Nothobranchius furzeri: one gene and its partner. The protein of the gene in region 2 binds, or shares a complex with, the protein of the main gene of each other region. Links are inferred from orthologs where the notes say so. Each region holds a gene or a part of one and is shown on either strand. Other genes may lie near its edges.

Region 1 (8,170 bases), on a different chromosome or scaffold from region 2:
TATTTTAATAAGTTTCCTCTACGCTGCAGGAGTTCATGTTTACATCACGGAGTAAAAGTTCGGCAGACGCGTTTGTTTACATCTGGGTGGGGGAGGGGGACTCGGTGCTGCACACAGACAGCTGGTGTGATGATCAGCTCTGAAAAGCCTTGATCACAATTTGCAGATCGCGTTTATTCTTCACGGAGATCGGCCGCGGATTCCTCTTCCGTCGGCACTAGGAACCGAAATGAAAAACTAGCAGTTGGAACCGATTCCAATCGATGCCCAGTCGGTACAACTCACCGTGTGCACTTAGGTCTCCACAGCAAGACTTACTAGTAGCTCCTAGTCGGTAAAATGCTTGACCAGAAGAGGCGGGGCCTTCTCGGTTTTGGCCCCTAAGCTGTGGAATGACCTTCCACTTGAGGTCCAACGCCCCCACTGCTGCTTTAAAGGAGTCGGAAGACTCGATTTTATTTTGACCATAGAACAATTATAACCGAAGTGTCTCCTTTATTATCAGAATGTTTCAGGGGAAATCAGTTTCACAGGCTCTACAATAAAAATGTGAATAAACATAAAATACACGAAATTCAAACAGAAACACTTAACAGATTTTAAAAATGTAAAATGCAAGTAAAACAAAAGCAAAAAAGAAAATGCGTAAAAGCAAAGTTTAGATGTCGAACAGATCTCTCATATTTATATAATTAGACTATTTCTACCAGACAACTAAAATGTTGCCTGATTTCAAGTAAAAAAGGTTAATGACTCGGGGTGTGTGATCCTGACGCCATGTTCAGGGCAGGTGCTGACACCTGGTGGTCAGACGAGTCCGCTGCAGTCTGAGGAACCAGCAGACCAGTCCGTTTTATCTCATCAATAGAGAAGTGCTGCTCCACTCAAGGTACTAGAACATCTGTTGCCATGGAGACGAAGACACCAACCTGCTGCAGGTCCCGGCTCCATTTAGTCCTGGAACACGTGATTCATTCAAAGAAGAAAAAAGGTTTTTATTTGTGTTTTTGATTCAAACACAAAAAAAACTTAAAACTAAAGTTTGGGTCAGAACCACGTGCAGTCAGAGTAAGCTGTTCCTGTAGAACCAGAACGGTCATCACTCAAACGAGACCGAGCAGCGAGCCCAGCGGGACGCCTAAAGCAGGAAACGGGAATGTTCTCCCCGCCGGGGAAACAAAAGTTCTGTTGGCCCATTTGCCGGTACCGCACTAGAACACTCGGTCGAACTCAGTCTGGCTGGTGGTGGCCGGGTTCCGGTTCTGGTTGGGCTGCTGCTGGGGCATATGGCCTCTCCGTCTGGGCGGAGCCAGATACTCAAACATGGAGGTGTTGTGAGTGGACAGCATGTTCTTCAGGTCCGATGGCATCGGGTCACACCAGAAGAAGTCATGGTTGAGCGCGTCGTCGCTGTCGATACGCTGCGATGGGTCCAGAACCAGGAGTTTGTCGATGAGGTCCAGAGCACACGCGTCTTTAACGTAGGCCTTCAGGCGGTCCTTCACCTTCCTCTTCTGGCCTTTGGGCAGCTCCATCTTCTGGTACAGCTCATACTTCTTGTCCACAGTGGGCCAGACCTCAGCTGTGATGGAGCCGCACAGCTGGCTGATGAGAGTCAGCTGGTGCTGCTCGGTGTTCCCCTGCATGATGGGACTCCTGGTCCACATCTCCGCCATGATGCAACCCGCTCCCCACAGGTCTATGGGGGGTCCGTAGTCCCGCTCACCTGAAGGACACAGAGCCAGGTTCTGTTAGAGGGTTCTTTGTTACAGAACGTTCCTTCAGAAGTCCAGAGAGGCTCATACCCAGCAGCAGCTCCGGAGGTCGGTACCAGAGCGTGACGACCCGGTTGGTGTAGCGGTTCCCCTGACTGTTCTTAGCCAGGCTGAAGGCCCGAGCCAAGCCAAAGTCCGCCAGCTTCAGGACGCCGTCTCTGGTGATGAGCACGTTGGCGGCCTTCATGTCTCGGTGCAGAATCTGAACCAGAACACACGATTTAGGACCGGGCCCACTTGAGACCGGGTCTTTAATGTTCTGCTTCTGATCGGTCTCACCTTGTTCCTGTGGATGTAGTACAGCCCGTTCAGCAGCATCTGCATCACCTTCTTGATCTCTGCCAGCGTGAATTTCACATTAGCGTTGCTCAGCAGCCCGGCCAGGTCGTGCTCGCAGAAGTCGAACACCAGGTAGATGCTGCCTTTGTACCGGTTGAACTGGGTCGCTGCAACAACAAAAACACTGGGTGTCACCTTCAGCTCCAGCAGCAGATGGTTCCTGCAGCTGAAGATCCGGCCTGAAGCCACTAACCTTTGGTTCTGCAGATCTCAATCAGGTTCACCACGTTCTCGTGTTTCAGCAGCTGCAGGATCTTGATCTCCCTCAGAGCTGTGATGGGGAACTGAAACGAAACGAAGACTGAGCGATGCTGGAGATGCGGTCCACGCGGTGATATTAATGAGACGACTCGGGTCATTTGTTTATGTTCATATTACTTTAACCAAAGTGAGCTGTAATCTAAGACAGCGGTGTCGTCCCTCTCATGTCTCCATCTGTGCATGAAAATGGTTCTCCACCTTCACACAGCTGATCATCAGTGGTGATCAATACATCTACCCAGCTGTTGAAGTTCTCCAGACTGAATGAAGGAGCCTCAGTGAAAGACTCCTGTCATGTCTGCACCACATATTTCTATCCTGAACTCAGATAAGAGCTCTCCAGCATTCACCCCACCACCTTCAAACCAGTGAGAAGTTCTAACGTGTTCTTCAGCTTCACCAGAGTCAAAATGATTGGGAGGTCAGGGGTTCGATTCCTGGACGGGTCATACCAAAGACTTTGAAAAAATGGGACCCAATGCCTCCCTGCTTGACACTCAGCATAGGGGTTGGATTGGGGGGTTAAACCACCAAATAGTTCCAGAGCGCGGCTTGTCTGCAGCTCACCGCTCCCGCAGGGGATGGGTCAAATGCGGAGAATAAATTTCGCACACACACCTGTGTGTGTGACAACTAATGGGACTTTAACTTTAGATGCTGTGAACCCCCCCCCCCCCCCCCCCCAATTGGTGGACTTCAGCCTGGCGAGGTCATCAGCTGGAGGAGTCAATGTGCTCTTCACGCCTCCCAAGATCTCCCTCCCACCTGTGACTGTACAGTAGATGAGCGCCTTATGGGCCATTCCCATCTGTACCGGGTCGGCCCGGGCCGGGTAGCGTAGGTTGTTTACATATCTGGGTGGCCTGGTATTTTTCCGGGCCAACCAAGGCTCATTCTCAGCCCTCTTCTCGAGGGGGTCTGCTTCAGGCCGACCAGGGCCAACACACCCACTGCTGACAGCAAATTCACACCTTCCATTAGAGCAAGCCTCTGATTGGTGGGTAGAATCAGCCCACATGGGCTTAAGGAAAGGGTGTGTGGAATCAACCGGGCCAGGCTGGGGCCGACTGGGGCTACCTGGCCCAGGCTGACCCGGTACAGATGGGAATGGCCCATCTGATGGCTGCTCTCGCTGGGGGAAGAAGGATCCCAGCCCCACCCCGCCTTCCTATTGGGAGTCTCATGTTGTGGACTGTTGATGTTCATGCTTATATGTCTGAGGTGTTTTTTTGCAGAGCAAAGCTGCCCTCCCTGTGGAGGGTAGCTCTGAAGTGCCTTTTTTCCCTCCACCTGAACCAATCCTCATGTAACCCTCTTATCTCTATTAAGGTAGCGCGACTCAGGGTTGCGAATGACCACAGTCACCAATTCTTGTCATGTGTCTTGCCCATGTGTGTCTGATCTCTGAATTGTGTGTACTGAAACTCTAATTTCCCTCTGGGATTAATAAAGTATCTTTGATTTGATCTCAGCTGTGATTTTAACCACAACAAGCAGCAACAGAAACTCAGATCTGTCTTGTTTCAGGCTCTCTTCAGGCTGCAGGAGAGCAGGGGCCACTCTGGGACGTGGATCAGGGATGCACCCATGACCGTACCAGTATCAGGTACTGCCCAGACACAACACAACCAATACCGACCACGTGGGTCCACTGTGGTGGACGTTAAACCCTGTTCACTTGTTCTAAGCTTTAGCGCACTCGAGTGGGGATCCAATTAGAGCCCTGCAATGGGACTGGTATCCCACGGGTCCCAATGCTAATCTCAGCAAGGCGAGCGACTGAGGACAAAACTGTGGGCACCACATTAACCTGCTAGAAGATGGAGAGTTCAACTGAGGTAGCTAACATGGAGAGGCGGGTTTGGACGCGGATGCTGTGAGAGCCGGTGGTGATGAAGAAATCAGCTCTAGTTCGAGCCTCTGAGGCCCAGGAACATCCAGCTGTTCAGACCCATATGATTGCCAGCTTCACACTTCAGATCATAACTGACGTAAAGTCTTTCAACATCTCTAAATGAGCTACCAGGTTCTCGTCTCTCACCCCTTCCTTTTCATTTTCCATCAGGACTTTCTTCAGAGCAACCTTCTTCTGCGTCTGCCGGTGCTTGGCTTTGAACACCTCCCTGAAAAGACACAAACACACGTTTATCCTGTTTTAGAACAAGGACTTAAATGTTATTGACAAGCGCAAACCCTAATTTCAGAGTAAACATTAGAAATCAGGATCAGTAACAGTCTTGATCCAGTTACCTGTAACCCCTTAAGGCAGGGGTACCCATGTTTTAGTTTTAACCACACCTGATTTTAATCAGCGGGTGATTAACAGGCTTCTGCAGAGCCTGATGAGCTGCTGTACAGTGATTTAACCACTAAAGCGTGTTGGAGCAGAGAAACCGCTAAAACATGCTTTATACCGGCCCGCCAGTGCCAGTTGGCACCCCGAATTAGGTCTTCCTGACGGTCCATCATGGTTTTTCTTTGGATCTTTACTGAGTTTCCGTCCCTGCTGCAACTAAAGACCCTGAAACAGAGCTAGCCCTCCTCTGTGTGCACAACACAGCCAGAACATGGCCGATGCTACATCAGCTAGCACCGCTAGCACAAACACAGACCCGTTCACTTTACCGCACAATGAAACGTCTCAAACACGTCTGTCTCACCCGAAGGTTCCCTGTCCTATCTTGGCCAGTTTCTCGTACTTGGAGAACTCGTCGCAGAAAGGAAACTCCACTCCGTCGTAATATTTGGACATTATGGCGGCCTCGCGGTCCGGCCTGGTGGGGACAAAGAGGTTAGACTGAATATCAGGAAACTTATAGACAGAAAAACCAAGACACACCACACAGACATACCCAAAAACTTAAATATAAAACATATATAACAAATGAGCGAATTCGTAGTTGGAAATCTTACTTTTCAGCCGCGCCAGCGCTGCTAGCTTTCTCCCGCTGCATGACTGCGTTGACGTTCGCCTTTCTTCTTCTTCTTCTGTTTAATGGAGGGTTGGAAACAAACCACAGAGGATATTCTGCCACCAACTGGACAGCAGATGTAACTACAAGTCCCCCAAGGACACGTTCAAAACCCAAAACTCACCCCCAAATCAACTTTTTCCACCCGAATAAACAGGCCCCGGTGTCGGTACAGGATCTGCTCGGGTGCAGAACCGGCTCGGGGTCCTTCGACTGCCGATGACGTCAAAGTAGTTGATTGGCTGAACATGAAGCTTACGGAAGTTACGTTATCACGTTTGATTTTAATTGGTCAGAACAAATTTGCGGTCGTAGTCTTAGCGGTTGTAGTCCTGTAGTCCAAAAATCAACACTTTTTGGAGAAAATATGTTTGAATTTCTAAAGGAAATGTAAAATATAAGCAAATGATAAACGGTGACCCTCAAAAGTTCTTGATGTTGATGAAATAGGGCAAAATAAAATATAAGAAGTTTACTGAAAGACACCAAGAAATATTTTGAGTCAAAGAATGTATTTAGATAACAACTAAGGAAATATACAGACGAAGTCCCCATTAATACAAACAGATATGGCTTCACATGTAAGAACTGTTCTATTTTTTGTCAGTCTGATGTTGGTTTTATGCAGTTTCACATTTTTTACAAAACAAAGATAATATGGTGTTTTATTAACAAATTAGAATTATAAAGAAAACATTTAGGTTGATTCTCCAAATCTGAGACCATGGTTCTCGACCGGGAAAGGGTGGCTTGCCAACTCCGGGTCGGGGGAGAGGTCCTACCTCAAGTGGAGGAGTTTAAGTATCTCGGGGGTCTTGTTCACGAGTGAGGGTAGGAGGGATCGGGAGATCGACAGGCGGATTGGTTTGGCGTCTGCAGTGATGCGGACGCTGAGCCGATCTGTCGTGGGGAAGAGGGAGCTGAGCCAGAAAGCCAGGCTCTCGATTTACCGGTCGATCTACGTCCCAATCCTCACCTATGGTCATGAGCTTTGGGTAATGACCAAAAGAACGAGATCGCGGATACAAGCGGCCGAAATGAGTTTCCTCCGTAGGGTGGCCGGGCTCAGCCTTAGAGATAGGGTGAGGAGCTCGGACATTCGGGAGGGACTCGGAGTAGAACCGCTGCTCCTCCGGATCGAAAGGAGTCAGTTGAGGTGGTTTGGGCATCTGGTCAGGATGCCTCCTGGACGCCTCCCCGGGGAGGTGTTTCGGGCATGTCCTGCCGGCAGAAGGTCCCCGGGTCGACCCAGGACACGTTGGAGAGGTTACATCTCCAATCTGGTCTGGGAACGCCTTGGGGTCCTGCCGGAGGAGCTGGTGGACAAGGCCGGGGAGAGGACGGCCTGGAGCTCCCTAGTTGGGATGCTGCCCCCGCGACCCGGACCCGGATAAGCGGAGGAAGACGACGACGACGACATTTAGGTGTTAACGAACAAGAATTTATTAACAAAACTGCTGATGTCTTTCCAAAACGTATGTGTGAAAGCCGAGTAGAGTTGCAGTCATGTGACAGAAGGTCCTAGCCAGGAGACGCTGATGGTGGATGCTAACGTAAAGCGTATATCCAGTGTCTTTATTTGTATTTACTTCTAGTTTTCTAAATGTGGCAAGGTGGAGAAACGAGGGCCCGGGTGGGATTTGATCCCCAGACTACCGGAAGTACCAAAAATTGCAGTTCCACCGTCATCCACTAGGGGCTGGTGTCAGAAGCGAGCAAATCCTCATTGACTCCCATGTTAAAAATACCAATTTCATAGCAGAAATAAACATGTTTACAGCCTGGTACCAAAACATGTTTTTGGTTTAAATGATCTAGTTTACACTCATGACAACTCTGAGGGGGGTGAATTTTTTTCTCACTCTTCTGTTTAAGTGTGTTAAAAGCCTAAAATTCTGTATAATTAATGAGCATCAGACCCACGTGACCACAGAGCTAGCTCCATGGAAAGGCCTCAGTAGAGCCTCGGTCTGGCCTGGAAACTGTTCCGGCATCTTGAGTCTCTGTTTGTTTTTTCTGTTTTGGATATTTTTTGTGCAATTGTTGGACAAAATGACTTGCTGTGGCATTAATTGCACTAATAGAGCGTCCAAGGAGTCTCCACTTCATTTTTTTCAGTAAGTAAAATTATATTTATGTATTTTAGGTCACTGCCGAGCTGAGCTTAGATTTTAACATGTACTGTTTAACCATGAAATGTAAATGTAATAGGGTAAAACCCAGTGCATTTAACATAACGCTGCATGTCGGCTTCTGAATTTTGCAATACACCAGGCACCTGCCTACTCCTTACAGCAGAAACCTAGTTATCATGAATTCAAATTTACAAATATATTTTACATCCTCCATGGAAAGCAGAGACAGACAGATGATGTATCCACCCAGGAGCGTTTCATTGTCTATTTTCTATCAGAAGCTAACACAGGAGATAGGTGTAGGAGACTATTTTCTATCCAGCTAACACAGGTGTAGCATGGATAATCTACGTACTAGCATATAACGCTGTTTGCTATCAGCTTTGTTGGATCCTGAGAATGATCAAGCAAATTAGCATATGAAGCTTATATCATGTATAAATATCCAGGATACTTATATAATCTATATAAGTTCATTATACTGTTGTGCTTCTTTTTCGGTGTTTTTTGGTTTGTTTGGTTTTTCTTTTTTTCTCCATAACTGGTGAATCTGCAAACTTACACATTCTCTGTTTACCATATGTTGTTTTGTTTATTTTTTTAATATATTTTTTTCATATGTTGTTTGTTTAATTTAAGACTGAAAGAAAATTAAATGAATAAGAGGTAAAACTTGGGGGTAGGGACA
Region 2 (7,024 bases):
TTTTGTGATAATTTCATTGTAAAATGTTCATATAATGTACTATTAAACATTAATTCAATATCATAACAAGAAACCTTTCAGTGCATTGAAATTTTCTTACATTCCTAGTGATGATGCTAGGGTACATAACAAAACCATACCGAGACCTGCTACAGGAGGTGGTCGCCGAGTGGTTCCAAATAAACTCACTTATTTTTGGACAGATGCCAAGATTTATTATCTCTGAATCATAAAAACACATTCAAAGGGTTCAAAAATAGCTCATGATCACAACACACAAGCTTCTTCCTGTGTTTACGTTTGTAGCCACTCCCCAGACTATCTGACTACTCAGAAGACTGAACAGTCTCACTTGGTTTGTAGTGAGGTCTCATGTTTATTTTTTTCTGTACAAAAATAAACTGAAGCGCAGAAAAACCCCTGTAATGTAACAAAATCACAAAGAAATTTGGACCAAAGGAACCAAACTGCAGGTGTGAAAACAGCCTTAAAGTTGATGAATGTGTGAACTTCTGCCTACCCATCTTTCCTCTCTGCCTTTGGAGCTGCATTGGGGCAGCGCTTGCCGTTCTTGACAGAGACATAGCTGCACTGCTTGTATGGCGCATTCTTGTCTTCAAGAATGTGTTTAATACAGAACTCCAAACCTTCCAGACGTGGCTGAGAACACGGTCGTAGGGTGAAGGAACAGGCCTGGGGCTCCTGTGGACGAGTCTGGGCCACCCGGTTACGACTCGAAGGCAAGACGTGGATTCGTATCCTGTTCATTTCAAGCCTGAAAAGTATCCACAAAATCATTAACATGGATTTTTATATAAATACTTTAGGAGAAAATGGTTTAAGTAGACTCGGTCAAGGTAGAGTATTCCTTAGTTCAGGGACTCCAACCCTGGTCTTCAGGGGCACCATCCTACAGGTTTTATCTGTTTCTCTGCTCCAACACACCTAATTCAATAGATGAATTACCTGTTCAGCAGGTCATCAAGCCTATTGACCACCCACTGAATAAAAGCTGGTGTGTTGAAGTAGAGAAACCTCTAAAACGTGCCAGAAAGGGTCCCACAAGGACCAGGGTTGTACCCTACTGCTCCAGAAAGTTGAAGCAGCAAGTCAGCGAACACGTTCATGCAAAATGGTAAACAATCATTTGGTTCAAAATAAAATACTATATGTACATTTTTACTATTAAGCTGATATTTTTAGAGACAATTTATAATCAGTGGTGAATATTGATCATTTTCACACTGCCATTTTTCTATTGCTTGTAGAAAAAGGAACAGTCTAAATGTTGTCTTTTTATATTTAATTAAAAAATATGTGGACATCTTTTCTTTACAAGCCAAAAACATCACCGTATGTATTCTTCGATGACAATTTCAGATACATCCTTTGCAGACATGGTGTGAGGACATTTCAAGAGCATTTCTAAGGGAACATCGATGTTCATTATTCTATCTGTAATCTTCTAATAGATTATATTTATCTATGTTGGTCCACTTCTATTTCCACAAGGCCGCACGATATTGGGAAATTATGCCATAATATTGTTGACAGTAACAGTAGTGATACACCCACTGACTAATACGCGGATTGTTTCTGTGATTCTTTTGAAAACCTCTGCAAAACTGACAGTCTGTGACAAAATACAGTTTTTAAATCCCAAGTCCCTAACGCAAACAAATCTACAGCTACATTAGCTAAAGCTGGTAAACAACATAAAACAGTTTCATACTTACAGTAAACAAACACACGCGGCAATAGTTTCTCCACACTACTAACAATTTCTCTAATTTTGGACCAGACAAGAAGTATCGAGGTTCTACACAGAGCAGAAAACCGTCGCTGGTCTACCCAAACGAAAGGCCACGCTAACGACGAAAAGGACTTCAAAACATGTGGAAATAGGAGACTACAACGAGCTTAAACCCGCCTCTTCACTGCGTCACTCCAAATCCTGCAGTTAATGGGCCGCCATTTTTGTGTAGCTAGTGACAACGGCAGCTGACTGACAACTGGAATAATTCGAAGCGAGGGAATTAGCTTTTCTGATAGATGGCAACAGTCAGACATTCATCTTAGTGTTATTGAAATAATTTGACATTAAGATGTAAAACAATACCCGTTGTGTGAAGTAAAACTGCTCGCCCCTCTCGCGTCTGCTGTCCTCACAATAGACATGTAGCACAATGCTAACCTTCGTGCAGTTTCCTCAGCATGTCGGCAGCCCCGCCCACTCTAAGCTCTCATTGGTCAGGATGGGAGACACCCAGACGGTTTATTGGTTAATCCAACTGTCACTCATTTCGGAGGCAAACTTGTTGAGACGACACTGACGGGTGATTGTAAAACTTAAAACCAAAAATGTATTTAAAATATTTATTGACTTTTAGAATAAAGCAACCACATATCAAAAAGAACAGTGTTTACATATAACTTAATGAAAAAAACTTTTATTTCCAGACCTGAGTGTCAATAAAAACACCAAGACAAGAAGAAACATGAAACTTAAGACTATTGAAAATGTGATTTTTGCATTGTTAGGTTGCATGAGTGTCTTCTGTTTGTATATATATATATATATATATATATATATATATATATAGGTTTTTATAATAAAATGTGTTCCACGATTTTCCCCATAGCATGTTAATACTCAAGTTCAACGCTTTCTCCAAACCACATAGCTCATGTTTTAAAAAATGCATTTGAAATTCACTTTCCTTATTTACCCACTGTACAAATTAACACTTTGTCAATTACATTGCAGTCAAACCCACAAAGATAAATATTCAGTGCATTTAACCAATTCCCAGTTACAACAAAAAATTGAAGTAAAACATCTGCTGCTTGAGCAAAGAAATATTTCTTTTCCAGCATGTATTTCAAGGGAACAAAAATGTAGTTGCATGGCTGATTTGTTCTACTGCATTGCTGTAAACTGCCTTAACCACTTTATATGACAACATAAAAATAAGGTCAAAGCAGTAATACTACACAACCAAACCCATATAAAGCCCAATATGGATGAAATGTCCAGATGACAGCCGAATCTCCTACCAACAAATATAAAACCAAGCATCAAATTTAAACAATCACTAAGTGACTTCATGCTCAAGAACCTGTACCGGAGATATACCGACAGCCAGCATGCCATCTAGGATTTTACTAATTTACAGAACACATGCGAATTTAAGAACAGTGTGAAGATGGGTTACGAACAACCTAGTATATAAAAATAGAAGAAAATAAAAACATCAGAACATGAGACCAGAGAAGTTGTGTACCACCGGCTTTGACATTCCAGAAACCACATGATTATTTTTGATACTGTATTATTGTGCTGTTGCATACTGAACATTCATAGGTGATCGGAAAGCATAATAGATGTTTTTGACCCAGCTGTTTACAAACGAGCACTGTTGGGCAATCAGGAAAAAAATAAAAATAAAAAATGAAATCATAAATCAATCAATGCAGCCTCGTTTGCTCTGAAATTCTTAAAAACTAAAAGGTATTGTTTTTTTCTTGTAAGTCCTTCATAATAACCATATTGGGTGGATATGTTTGTACTTTTAGAACAAAAGTGTGTCCGCCATATGAAGTTAGTGTGTTTATTTACTAAGGAACAAAGTATGCATATTTTACAACCATTTAAAACAATGACTGCAACACCAAGTCTAAAGAGAGACGTACAAGTTCGCTTACGTCACCCCCCCCCCCCCTTTTTTGTTTGTAATTTTCAGTAACAAATGTAAAAAAAATGTTTAAAACATCTGACTATACAATCTTCATACATGGTACCCAAAAAATAAAAAATGCTGCAAACAAAAACAAACACTAGGTATGGAACCAGGTTGCTGTTAAACATGGCTTTGGAGATATGCGTTCTTAAACCAAAATTAATTTTAAAAGAACGTTTTTTAAAAACCACTCAATCAATAAATAACATACTATAAAACCATTACAAAAATAACTGGTAAAAGAACCTAAAAAGGTTTCTGATGGCAGTTTGGATTCCTTTAAAATTTCAACAGAACTCATTTCTTAACCTCAACCACATCGCATTGGAAGTTACAAAAAGAAAATATAAATATTTATATATATACAATTTCCGCTAAGTCTTTTTTTTTAATCCCACATTCGGCGAGGCTCTCAAACCTTGTTATTGCCCCACAAGTAAAAGGGGAAAGTCATTTTCAGCCTACCAACATGTTGGGTGTGTAGAAGACACAAAAAACTTATACAATGCTTTATGTAACAAAGAGGACGTTTGGGACTTCAAGTACAATGTACAGAACAACTCCTGATCAGAGGTCTATTTGGGTAAAGGTGGAAGTGGGGGAGGCGGTTCTGAAGGTAAGGGTGGGGGTCTGGAGTTGTTCCCTCTGGAGCCACCAGTGTACCGATAGTCACCATAATGAGATCTATATTCAAACATGGATGGCTGAGATGGTTGGACCCCCTGAGCGCTCAGCAATGAGTTTAGCATTTCAAAAGTGTCCTGGTACTCATTAGACTGGCCCCCGCTTGCTGAACCGTGTCCATTAGTATCTGTTTTGTCAGTTTTGGAGTGTGAATACGTCCCCTGGCTGTGGGAAAGGCTCAGAGAAGGCAGAATGTCCAATCCGTGAGCCAGAGTTTGCCCTGAGGAGGAAGACAGGGACGGTAACTGGTAGGGATTTCTAGAAGTCTTGCTGGCTTTGGCAGCTGGTTGGGAGCCTGCTACAGGGTCTTGGGAGTGTACCCGCTTTCTAGATGAGGAGGAGGAAGAGGACGAGCTCAGAACTTTTTTGCTGCTTCCCAGTGTTCCACTGGAAGCAGATGAATGTTTGTGTGAAGAAGAAACTGAAGCACTGCTAGAAGAGGAGGAATGGTGGTGAGGATGATGGTTGTGATGATGGTGATGATGGTATGCACGGTCCCTGTGCTTGTCCCTGCTACTCTTGCCCTCCTCTCCAGAACTCCCTCTTTGCTTCTCAGGCACTCGTATTTTTACTTTGATGTCTGGATCCTGACCTCGAGTGGCGTCACTGACTGCTCCGGTGTGTGGAAAACGCATTTTCAGATGCCTCTCCTTCTCCAAGGGAATTTTAAGAATAATGGGTGATGGGTTGGGCATGTCAGAGGAGGAAGAGGAACTGGACTGCTGGTGATGATGATGCTGTTGCTTCTCCTTTCTCTGCTGCTGGCCAATGAGAGCCTGGGCTGCGTTTGCATATTCCCTCTTCACACTGGCCTCCATGTTCTCAAGCTTTCTCTTCTGTGCTGCCAGGACATCAGCATTTTTGGCACGGTACTCACTCAGGGATACCTTTGCTGGGGTGTGCACTTCATGGTTGGGCTGCTGCTGCTGCTCAGTTCCAGCCTGACCCTTTCCACTCCACGTCTGAGCACTAATGGGCATAGCCCTGTCCTTGTCACTGATAGATGATGAAGAGGAGGTGGACGGTGGAGCTGAGAGGCTCAACAGGCCCGCTACAGTACTCTCTGATGAAGCCATAGAAATCATGTTGATCATGGTGTCCCTCTGGTCGCCATCTTCCTGAATCTTTGGCTTGACTTTGGGTGTCTGACCGCCAGCCTAAAATGCCAAAAAGTCAAAGATTAAAGTTCATTAAAATTTACAAATTGCAGAAAGACCAGATTGTATCAAGTGGGTGGGAAAATAAAACGTGTACCTTCCAGTTGCGAATGCGTTTCAGCCGACTGGGTGTTTTCTCCAGGATTTGAAGGAACTCGTGAGTAAGTTCTGCAAAAGATTTTAAAAATTAAGATAAACTCAAGTAGGGCTGGGCGATACGGCCTAAAATCAATATCATTATATATTGAGCATTTCACCTCGATAACGATAAATGGACAATAACTACAGGTGTGCGCAGAAACAAAAGTTGTCCACTAGATGGGGCTGTCACCTAGGGCTGAACGATCTATCGTTTTTTTTTTTTTGGGACCGAAATTGCGATTTCAAACAGCACGATCACATGATCGTCAAAGCTGGGGTTTTGGGGCGGTTTTGACTGATCCAGGATATGTTGTGTAACTTTTACATTCGGGGTTTCCCCCTGTGTTACAGCGACGGCAACAGCCAGCGCGGGGGAAGGGATACGGTGTAGGGTTGGGAATCGAGCATCGATTGGAACTGGGACCAACTGTTAGTTTTTCATGGAGTCGTTCAAAGTTTTTTACTTCAATTCCTAGTTTTCGATTCTTAGTATGCCGACCGGAAAAGGAAACCGCGGCCAATCTCCATGAAAAATAAACGTGATCTGCTAATTGTGATCAACGCTTTTCAGAGCTGATCACACCAGCTGTCTGTCTGCAGCACCAAGTCCCCCCTCCCCCAACCGTGCACGCAGCGGCCAAATATAAACAAATGCGTCTGCCGAACTTTTACCCCGTAATGTAAACTTTAACTCCTGCAGCGTAGAGGAAACGTTAAAATACGGCAACACAGTGGACTTACTAGAAGCTTTAAAGAACAAACTCTGGATGGTGTGAGATTGTCTCACTGCAGAAATAAAAACACACACGTCAGCAGTCAGACGCAGCCGCTCACCAACACTCGTGTGTGTGTGTGAGTGTGAGCGTCAGAAGGCTGAATAACCTGTAGAATAATTAAAGTCATAATGCTAGAGAAGCTTCTTTGTGGTGGACCACACCAGCTTCTGCCACTAGGAAAGGGATAATAAATAATAAATAATAATAAATCACACACAAAGTTGTGAAATTTCCTTTCTGAACTATATCTGTTAAGAGTTTTAAAATCTGTTAGATTGTTACTGACAGCAGCTACATTTAAGTTTCAGTCTCTGTTCTGACTGAAGCTGCTGCAGCATGGAGGTGTAGTTCTCAGTCATCCTGGACATGATCATCCTGAGAGTTTTAGCAGAAAACAGCTGGACGTTTCTGGATATGTCGGAGACATTTAGCCTCTCATCCCAGAGGCTTCTTCCAGACTTTGGTTGTGGTCAGAAACAAACACACTGATTGTGCTGCAAGTCTTTTTCTTTTTTTCTTGAAAACA

The links.
Region 1: the proteins of ccnt1 (region 2) and cdk9 are in contact, whole or in part, in a crystal structure (PDB 3BLH), measured with the Homo sapiens proteins. The link is inferred for Nothobranchius furzeri from reciprocal best matches to the Homo sapiens genes CCNT1 and CDK9. Residues at the interface, in NP_001231.2 of Homo sapiens: Arg5, Lys6, Arg11, Trp12, Arg26, Ile72, Gln73, Phe78, Phe89, Leu90, Lys93, Val94, Pro98, Lys99, Lys100, Leu101, Val134, Glu137, Ile139, Leu141, Gln142, Thr143, Gly145, Phe146, Glu147, Leu148, Thr149; in NP_001252.1 of Homo sapiens: Val8, Glu9, Cys10, Pro11, Phe12, Cys13, Lys56, Glu57, Gly58, Phe59, Ile61, Leu64, Ile67, Lys68, Gln71, Leu72, Leu81, Ile82, Glu83, Ile84, Arg86, Ile99.

What each region holds. Positions count from the first base shown.
Region 1 is NC_091742.1:88,946,888-88,955,057, forward strand, and holds cdk9 (cyclin-dependent kinase 9), read right to left. Parts: upstream 5,434-8,170; 5' UTR 5,330-5,433; coding exon 5,289-5,329; intron 5,150-5,288; coding exon 5,036-5,149; intron 4,499-5,035; coding exon 4,417-4,498; intron 2,399-4,416; coding exon 2,308-2,398; intron 2,222-2,307; coding exon 2,055-2,221; intron 1,978-2,054; coding exon 1,806-1,977; intron 1,727-1,805; coding exon 1,212-1,726; 3' UTR 476-1,211; downstream 1-475. UniProt on the Homo sapiens protein: Protein kinase involved in the regulation of transcription.
Region 2 is NC_091755.1:57,565,877-57,572,900, forward strand, and holds the end of ccnt1 (cyclin-T1), read right to left. Parts: intron 5,750-7,024; coding exon 5,679-5,749; intron 5,582-5,678; coding exon 4,316-5,581; 3' UTR 2,363-4,315; downstream 1-2,362. Other genes in the region: kansl2 (KAT8 regulatory NSL complex subunit 2), read right to left, coding at 521-775, 2,120-2,178. UniProt on the Homo sapiens protein: Regulatory subunit of the cyclin-dependent kinase pair (CDK9/cyclin-T1) complex, also called positive transcription elongation factor B (P-TEFb), which facilitates the transition from abortive to productive elongation by phosphorylating the CTD (C-terminal domain) of the large subunit of RNA polymerase II (RNA Pol II).